2 linked regions of the Neurospora crassa OR74A genome follow. The protein of the gene in region 1 binds, or shares a complex with, the protein of each later gene. Links are inferred from orthologs where the notes say so. Each region holds a gene or a part of one and is shown in the gene's direction. Other genes may lie near its edges.

Region 1 (4,236 bases):
CGGCTCCCATGCCCAGCGGACCCCGACCTGAAATGAACGATCCACCAAGCGCCCAAATGTCAAGAGGGAAAACCCGGGATATGACGCTATCTACACGTGCGGTTACAGTAGATCGCTGATGAATGCCCGGGTTTGCCGGTCGGGACCAGCTGGCTGCTGTTTCTTGATTGATTGATGGGAAAGTTGGGCGTGAAGAAGAGCCCAAGTTGACTGTCACAATTAAGCCACAATTACGGCCAATCAATAGATACTGTGTAACAAAGTGAAAGTTGCGCTTTCGAGGTACTTATTCAGGTGCTATGCCGTACCAGCAGCGCTCGAGATGCGGCTGGGCTGTGCTTGCTCCTGCACGATCTCACTCTTTCGGGTTCAATTTGGACAAGAATCCTTCGTTCCTGCGCCAGTACCTTGCTTCGATGTTGTTGGTCGGTCATTGGGGTTGACCTGAACCCTCGAAATGCGCTGCGGTTATTCCAAATAAAAGCTAGGTACATACACCTCCAGCGCTGGGAGGTTACGTACCTGTTCTTGGGGTTTCAAATTGTAAGGTACGAACAAGGTGTTCATTTGTCCTCGGGTCAATAGTGCACTTCCTACCTACGCTTGATTTGATCTCGAATGGATTTTCCGTGGACATTGCAATTACATAAATATACATTTTGGTGATAGCATCCATGAAGATCGCGGTGTCTTCGCGACCGCTTCGTTGCATCGTCTAAATTCCCCCAAATTCAGCGAACCCCCCCACCCCCCCGAACACACACCCCCCGGACCGGCTCCTTTAAACGAGCACTTGGGTCCACGACTTGGACATAGAGTAATTTCCAACGTCTCCCTTGGCTCGACCATTTCGACCGCAACTCCAGACTCTTGATCACGATAAAGGTCAAATTCCTCGCAGGGTCACCGCAGCCGCGCGTGCTCGCTGTCGTCGACATCTTCCCGACGTTCCCTCGCTCGAAATTACAGGCTACCTATCCGTAGGTACCATACAGGAGGGCCTTGGCCGGCCGCAATCCTACGCGCAAGCGGGCATACCTACAGTGCTTGCTTCAGCGGCTACCCCTTGCTTCAGGAGCACCCGTACACTCTAGAAGAGCTTCCATCCTCGTTCACCTTCTGCCCGGCAGCCGCAGCGCCGCACCCCCGTCACCCGTCACCAACCCAGCGTCACCCGCTCTCACACGCTGCTGCCGCCGCCGCCGCCGCCGCTCGCTCCTTGATTCCATTTCCTACCGGACACACACACACCCCCCCTTCCCCGGCAGAACCAAGACTTGTGATACCACACCACCAGCCACCATTCGCACCACGGCGCCTTTCGTTTTCCCCAATTCCTTTCTTCGCAACAGCAACTCCCTTGCGTCGGTTCATGTCGGCTGCCATCCAAAGGGCATCATACGAGCAGATTTCCCGCAGCAGCCATGGGCTTCCTCGGCGTCTATAGGGCCATTTACGATTACACGCCCCAGGGCGAGGGCGAGTTGACAATCTCCGAGGGCGACATTCTCTATGTGTTGGAAAAGAGTCAGGAGGACGATTGGTGGAAGGCGAAGAAGAAGGCCAATGCTGCCGACGATGACGAGCCCGTCGGCTTGATCCCCAACAACTACATTGAGGAGGTATGTAATGTGGTCCGAGGTCTAGATCTGGATTGCGTGCAGTGTCATCTGGGCACTTGTACCTGCTTGGAGGATAGCAAGCTGGCTGGCCTTGGCATTCAGATGGATCACTTGAACTGACCGCGCACACCATGACGCCAGGCGAAACCCGTATCATACGCTCGCGCGCTCTACGAGTACACGCGTCAGACCGACGAAGAGCTCTCCTTCCCCGAGGATGCGCAGCTCTCAGTCTTCGACACTTCCGACCCCGATTGGATCCTTGTTGGCCACGATGGCGACTACGGCTTCGCGCCCGCCAACTACATCGAGTTGGGCGATGGCCAGGCTGGCCAGGTCGAGGAGGAGGAAGAAGCGACTGCCCCCCCTCCTCCTCTTCCGCAGAGGACACCCAGCGTCAGCGTCGATGTAGCCAGCCCGCCCCTGCCCGCCAGGAGTGTGCCCTCCGAGCCAAGCACCCCTGTCGCCGCTTCCAACCCTGCTGCCGCCGCCATCGCCGGAGTTATGGCCAACCGCTCTTCTTTCCAACCTCCAGCGCCTATCAGTGTTCCCCAGCCCCAGCGACAGTCATACGCTTCGGAAGATTACGAAAATGAGGTAAGGTCCCCGCCGCTTCCGAGCCGCCCGCGGGGCGATTCGCAAATTGCTCCGGAGCAAAAATCCTACAGACCGGTGCCGCCGCCCGCTCAGTCAGCAGCCCACGACACCGACGACTATGGCATTAGCCCGCGAACCTCCCAGGCTCCTCCTCCTCAGACCGCCGCGCTTACCCCTGGCGGTTTCCACATGTACAACATCAACGAGATGACGTCGGTGATGGGCAAGAAGAAGAAGATGCCTACCACGCTGGGCATCAACCTGAGGACGGGAATGATTCTCATAGCGCCGGAACATTCCCACGACGGTCCATCGCAGGAATGGCGGGCCGATTGCATGACACACTACTCTCGGGAGGGCAAGCACGTGTTTATGGAGCTCGTACGACCAAGCAAGAGCGTTGACTTTCATGCGGGCGCCAAGGACACCGCTGAAGAGATCGTCGCGATGCTGGGCGACATGGCCGGAACTGTGCGCCTCGAGGGACTCAAGGAGATCATTGCCGCGGGAGCCGGAGGCAAGAAGAAGAAGGGTGCTGTGCTGTATGATTTTATGGCTCAGGGTGAGGACGAGGTTACTGTCGGCGTTGGTGATGAGGTAGTTATTCTCGACGATACCAAGAGTGACGAGTGGTGGATGGTGCGTCGCGTCAAGAACGGCAAGGAGGGTGTGGTTCCCAGCAGCTACATTGAGATCAACGGCGTGTGGGAAGAGCCGGAGACGGCCGTTACCGGTATTGCCGTGGGCATGTCGGAAGTCGAGAAGAACCGCCTGGAAGAGGCGCGCTTAACCAAGGAGGCTATCAAGGCTGCCCAGCGCGAGGAAGAGAAGGAGAAGCAGAAGAGGAACTCTGAGGTAGGCCCAGGATTGCAATTGCAAGAACGAAATAGTAGTTTGCCGGCCACAGATGATAACAGGAGAGGAAAACAGCGAAGCAGTAGGCGCGAACCCGGTCAGAACAGCAGCTCCAAGTCGTCAAGCAAGTCGAGTAAGTACACCCATGTCCAGATTTTCTTTCAGAGTATGCAGAATACTGACAGTTTGTCGCAGAGCCCGATCCTTCCAAAGTGCGAACATGGACCGATCGATCCAAGTCCTTCAGCGTTGAGGCCCAGTTCCTCGGTGTCAAGGATGGCAAGATCAGGCTCCACAAGATGAACGGTGTGCAGATCGCCGTGCCCGTCTCGAAGATGTCAGTTGAGGATCTCGAGTACGTGGAGCGCGTAACTGGCGAATCTCTCGACGAAGACAAGCCCCTATCCGATCTTAGGAACAAGCGATCCGCCGGTGAGTCTTCGAGGTCTAGTCGATCGACGCGCGACAGGGAAAGAGACCGTGGTTCCAGCTCCCGGGTTGGCGCCACCATCGATTCCTCGAAGAAGCCCGACTACGACTGGTTTAACTTCTTCCTTGGTTGTGACATACAGGTTGGTTTGTGCGAACGGTATTCTCAAGCTTTCCTGCGGGAGGCTATCGACGAAAGTGTCTTGCCAGATGTTGATGCTACTGTGCTGAGGAACTTGGGCTTGCGTGAAGGTGATATTATCAAGGTCATGCGGTACCTGGACAACAAGTACATGCGGAACAAGAAAGGCGAAGAGGGCGAGGGAGGACTCTTCTCTGGGCCAGGAGGTGCGCTCCGCAACAACACGAAGAAGGGCAGGCCGGCGCCCCCCGTCGAGGTCAGCAACACCGTTGATCCCAACGCTTTCTCTAAGGACTCGGGTGCTGGTAGTGGCAAGTCATCATCTCCTACGGCTGCGGCTACGCCAACACCGTCTGCCTCGAAGCCTTCCAGTGGCTTTGATGATGATGCTTGGGATGTCAAGCCTACCAAGACGAAAACCCCTGAGCCGGCTGCGCAAGCCGTTGCTCCCGCTCCTGCGGCGGCACCCGCTGCCGCTCCAGCCCCTGCTGCGCCAGCTCTGGTTGACGCGCCGGCCCCCCCTCCGCCGGCGGCTCTTACCAAGTCGATGCAGGAGTTGTCGTTGCTTACCCAGCCTTTGGAACCCGAGAA
Region 2 (3,748 bases), on another chromosome or scaffold:
GGTAGTCAGCGCGAGGGAAAGAACTTTGATATCAAGACCAGGGTGTTTAGACAGTTGACGGCTGCCAAGGAGAATGGCGGGTGTATGGTGCACAGCTTGCGCAGCTTGGGCAGCGCGGCCTTGAACATCTGCGCAGTGGCGGCTGGTCAGGTCGATATGTACTGGGAGGGCGGGTGTTATGCGTGGGATGTGACGGCGGGGTGGTGTATTCTCGAGGAGGCGGGTGGAATTATGGTTAGTGCAAACCCGGGGGATTGGAACCCGGAGTTGGATTCAAGGTTGTATTTGGCCGTCAGGGGAGCGGAGAGCGGACAGAAGGAGATTGTGGAGGAGTTTTGGGGGGTTGTTGGGGATGACAGGATGGAATATAAGCACTAATGGTTGGTGAACATGACGCGGTTTTGGGTACGGGCTTAGGTTATCAGGCATTGGGTCAAGTAATAAGCAGGCATATTGGATTTGGAAAGATGTCGACTAGATGAGTTAAGGCTATCGTTAGAAGGGTTGGATTGGGGTGCGATATCCGGGAAAGGGTCGTTCGCCCGTCAGCAATGTGAGTGACAGCTGCATCACGGTCCTATGGCCGATCAAGAAGAAAACTGAAGGTGATTTCGTTCCTTGATGTGTGAAGATGTGGCAAGGTACGTTGCAGAAAGGTTGATAAAGAAGGAAAAAAAAGAATTCGCATTTGATCCGACCCAGGCTCGATCTGGGGACCTTCAGTGTGTTAGACTGACGTGATAACCAACTACACCATCGGACCGTTGATGTGAATAAAGGTTTTCTGCGACTTTATGACTCATAAAGTTAGACATGTTTGATGCCATGGCCTGGAGTATTGCTATTCCTTTCAATGCTGGAAGGAATCGGCACCAACTGGTAGCTGAGCTGGTTGCTGTGGTTTACCTAGTGAGCATGTGCGCTTTATCTGTAACCTCTATAACCTGGACCACGCTGGTCGCTCACTGGGAAGAAACACAAACAGTTTGAATCCTCGAGTGCGTGGTTTCGAGTTTATAGCATGGACGTGAAGACGACGAACATCACATCATGCAGTTGACACAAGTTCAACGAGATGCCATTGTTTGGATGAAAAAGGGGCTCAGGGGCAGAGAGAAAGTGGAGACCCATGTACCTCGAAGCTACGGCAAGGCACAACAGCCATGTGCGCACATCGGGCCATCCCCCCGGTCCCGGTCATACTGCGAGGCATCATCCACCGACAACAAGAGACGGAGCTTGGACGTTGCAGCTGCCCTGGGATCCGCCTGACAACTTCCCACTGTAATCACACCGCGCTACGGGGCTGTACACTGGCAACAACCGACCCAACCTGACTTCCTCGAGATAACCTCAAACCCAATCGAACTTCATTTCCATTATCTAACATTGACCCGAGTATCAATCTCCACTTATTTCCGTGACCGTCTCGCTTAATCGAATCGTCAATTGCTCTCATCATTTCCAAGTCGGTCAATCAATCAGCGCTCCCGTCGACGACCGCATTACCACCGGACAGGAACCGGAAGCCGTTGCCCCCGGACTTAGGTTGCCGCTGCGATTCACGGCCCTTCAGCTTGAGAGGTAGCTGCTAGCCAAATTTCCAACCCACTTACACGCATATAATTACTACGAAGCCAACCGCGACAATGCCGCCAAAAATCGAAGCGCAGGAAATCGAGACGTACTGGAACATCTTCTCGGCGCGAACAAATGGCGGCAAGTTCCTGACGGGCGAGCAGGCGGCGCCGGTGCTGAAGAACAGTGGCCTGCGCGATGACCAGCTGGAGCGTGTTTGGGATCTGGCCGATGTGGACAATGACGGAAACCTTGATTTCGAGGAATTTTGTGTTGCGATGAGGGTCATCTTTGACCTTTTGAACGGGGTTCGTCTACCTCCTTCTGTCCTGAAGCTGCGAGCGAGCGAGCGAGCAAGCAAGCAAGCATGGGAGCAGTAATAGCAGCAGTATCAGAGAACTAACAGGGGGAGACGGTAACAGGAATACGCTGATGTCCCGACAACTCTCCCAGACTGGCTTGTCCCCGAATCTAAAGCCCACCTTGTGCAAGCGAACCGCGCGCTAACCGGCAAGGCGCCGAAATTCGAGCAAGTCGAAGATGAAGACGATACCCCCGGCTTGAAGGATGGGTTTGACTGGTACATGAGCCCGGCGGATAAGTCCAAGTACGAGCAAATCTATCAAGAGAACCGAGATATGCGCGGCGAGGTTTCCTGTATGTTTACATCCCTTCCTTTCCCTTCCCTTCCGGTCCCTAACCTCATACTAATCTACCTACCTACCCGCAGTCGCCGCCCTCCAAGACCTCTACGACTCCCTCTCCGTTCCCGACACCGACATCCGCTCGGCCTGGAACCTGGTCAACCCGTCGGCCTCCTCGACCATCAACAAAGATGCCTGCCTCGCCTTCCTGCACATCCTCAACTACCGCCACGAAGGTTTCCGCATCCCGCGCACCGTTCCCGCTTCTCTGCGGGCCTCGTTCGAGCGCAACAAGATCACATACAACGTCAACGACCCGTCGCAGTCGCGCTGGGCCCAAAAGGCCGACGATGAGACCTCTACCGGCCGCAAGGCCAAGTTCGGCGATCAGTACCTGACGCGCCTAGGCCGTTCCTCGTTCAAGACGGCCGGCACCGACTTCTCGTCCGAGCAGACGGACGATCAGTGGGAGGAAGTCAGGCTGAAGAAGCAGCTGGCGGAGCTGGACGAGAAGATGGCCAAGGTTGAGGAGGCGGCGAACCGTCGTAGGGGCGGGAAAAGGGATACAAAGCCGGCACTGGTCAAGAGGGAGCTGGAACAGCTGTTGGATTATAAGCGCAAGGAATTGAGGGACTTGGAGGAGGGTAAGGGGAAGGCGGCGGCTGGTGGGAGCCTGAAGAGCGTGGCGGATGATTTGGCGACGGTTAAGGAGCAGGTGGAAGGGCTGGAGGCGCATTTGAGGAGCAGGCAGGACGTGTTGGAGCAGTTGAAGAGGGAGATTGAGGAGGAGAAGGTTGGGAGGTAAGCTGTTGAGGGTCGGTACAGGGAGATGGGTTGAAGAGGTAGAGAGAGCGGGCTGTGATATTTTGCTGGGTTCCTCGAGGCGAAGACCATGGGCAGTTTGCCAGGACAGGAATGATTTGGGTTCATCGGTTACGTTTCATCTTTCTAAGACAGCATAATCTCTTAATGGCATTCAGTGGAGTAACAACAAGCTGCCTGATGGCGCATATCTTGACTGTGTAATTTTCCCAGGTGCTATGGTATATTACAATGAAAGGTATCATGTTGACTGTGCTTTTCAGGGGAATTTAAGCATCACAATCCACGCGCCTTTGCACTCAGCGCTTGTCTAAGCAACAACATGGTGGCTCTGCTTGTTGCCGCTAGAGGCTGTCGGGAAATGTGAAAGGAGTAGAATAGTTTGACCGTATAGATATCTTTTCGATTTCATCAGCGTGAAGAGGCATCGGAAATCCTAGTTTATGCCATTTCCAGTCTTATTCCACTGGTACCTTGATATACATGTCCTGCCAAATATGCAGGCACAAGCAATATGTTGCTTCGGAGTTGCTGTGGTTGGAACATCTCAAAAGGTACGAATGAATTGCATCTTCACATGGGCCCATCTGGATCATGTAATTACTGGTTTGAGCAGCTGAGTCCACGATAAATAAGCGTAAAGTGAGGCTGTCAGGTTGAAAATGAGTTGAAGAGGGTGTTGTGGATGCTATCGTAGGATCGAT

Evidence for each region.
Region 2: NCU02978 (region 1) and NCU06347 share a complex: the UniProt entries of both Saccharomyces cerevisiae proteins name them as parts of the PAN1 actin cytoskeleton-regulatory complex. The link is inferred for Neurospora crassa OR74A from reciprocal best matches to the Saccharomyces cerevisiae genes SLA1 and END3.

The regions. Positions count from the first base shown.
Region 1 is NC_026501.1:8,519,957-8,524,192, forward strand, and holds the start of NCU02978 (cytoskeleton assembly control protein SLA1p), read left to right. Parts: upstream 1-1,424; coding exon 1,425-1,622; intron 1,623-1,763; coding exon 1,764-3,207; intron 3,208-3,269; coding exon 3,270-4,236. UniProt on the Saccharomyces cerevisiae protein: Component of the PAN1 actin cytoskeleton-regulatory complex required for the internalization of endosomes during actin-coupled endocytosis. The complex links the site of endocytosis to the cell membrane-associated actin cytoskeleton.
Region 2 is NC_026504.1:2,823,526-2,827,273, forward strand, and holds NCU06347 (actin cytoskeleton-regulatory complex protein end-3), read left to right. Parts: upstream 1-1,238; 5' UTR 1,239-1,649; coding exon 1,650-1,886; intron 1,887-2,000; coding exon 2,001-2,235; intron 2,236-2,308; coding exon 2,309-3,027; 3' UTR 3,028-3,240; downstream 3,241-3,748. Other genes in the region: NCU06348 (myo-inositol-1-monophosphatase), read left to right, coding at 1-378. UniProt on the Saccharomyces cerevisiae protein: Component of the PAN1 actin cytoskeleton-regulatory complex required for the internalization of endosomes during actin-coupled endocytosis. The complex links the site of endocytosis to the cell membrane-associated actin cytoskeleton.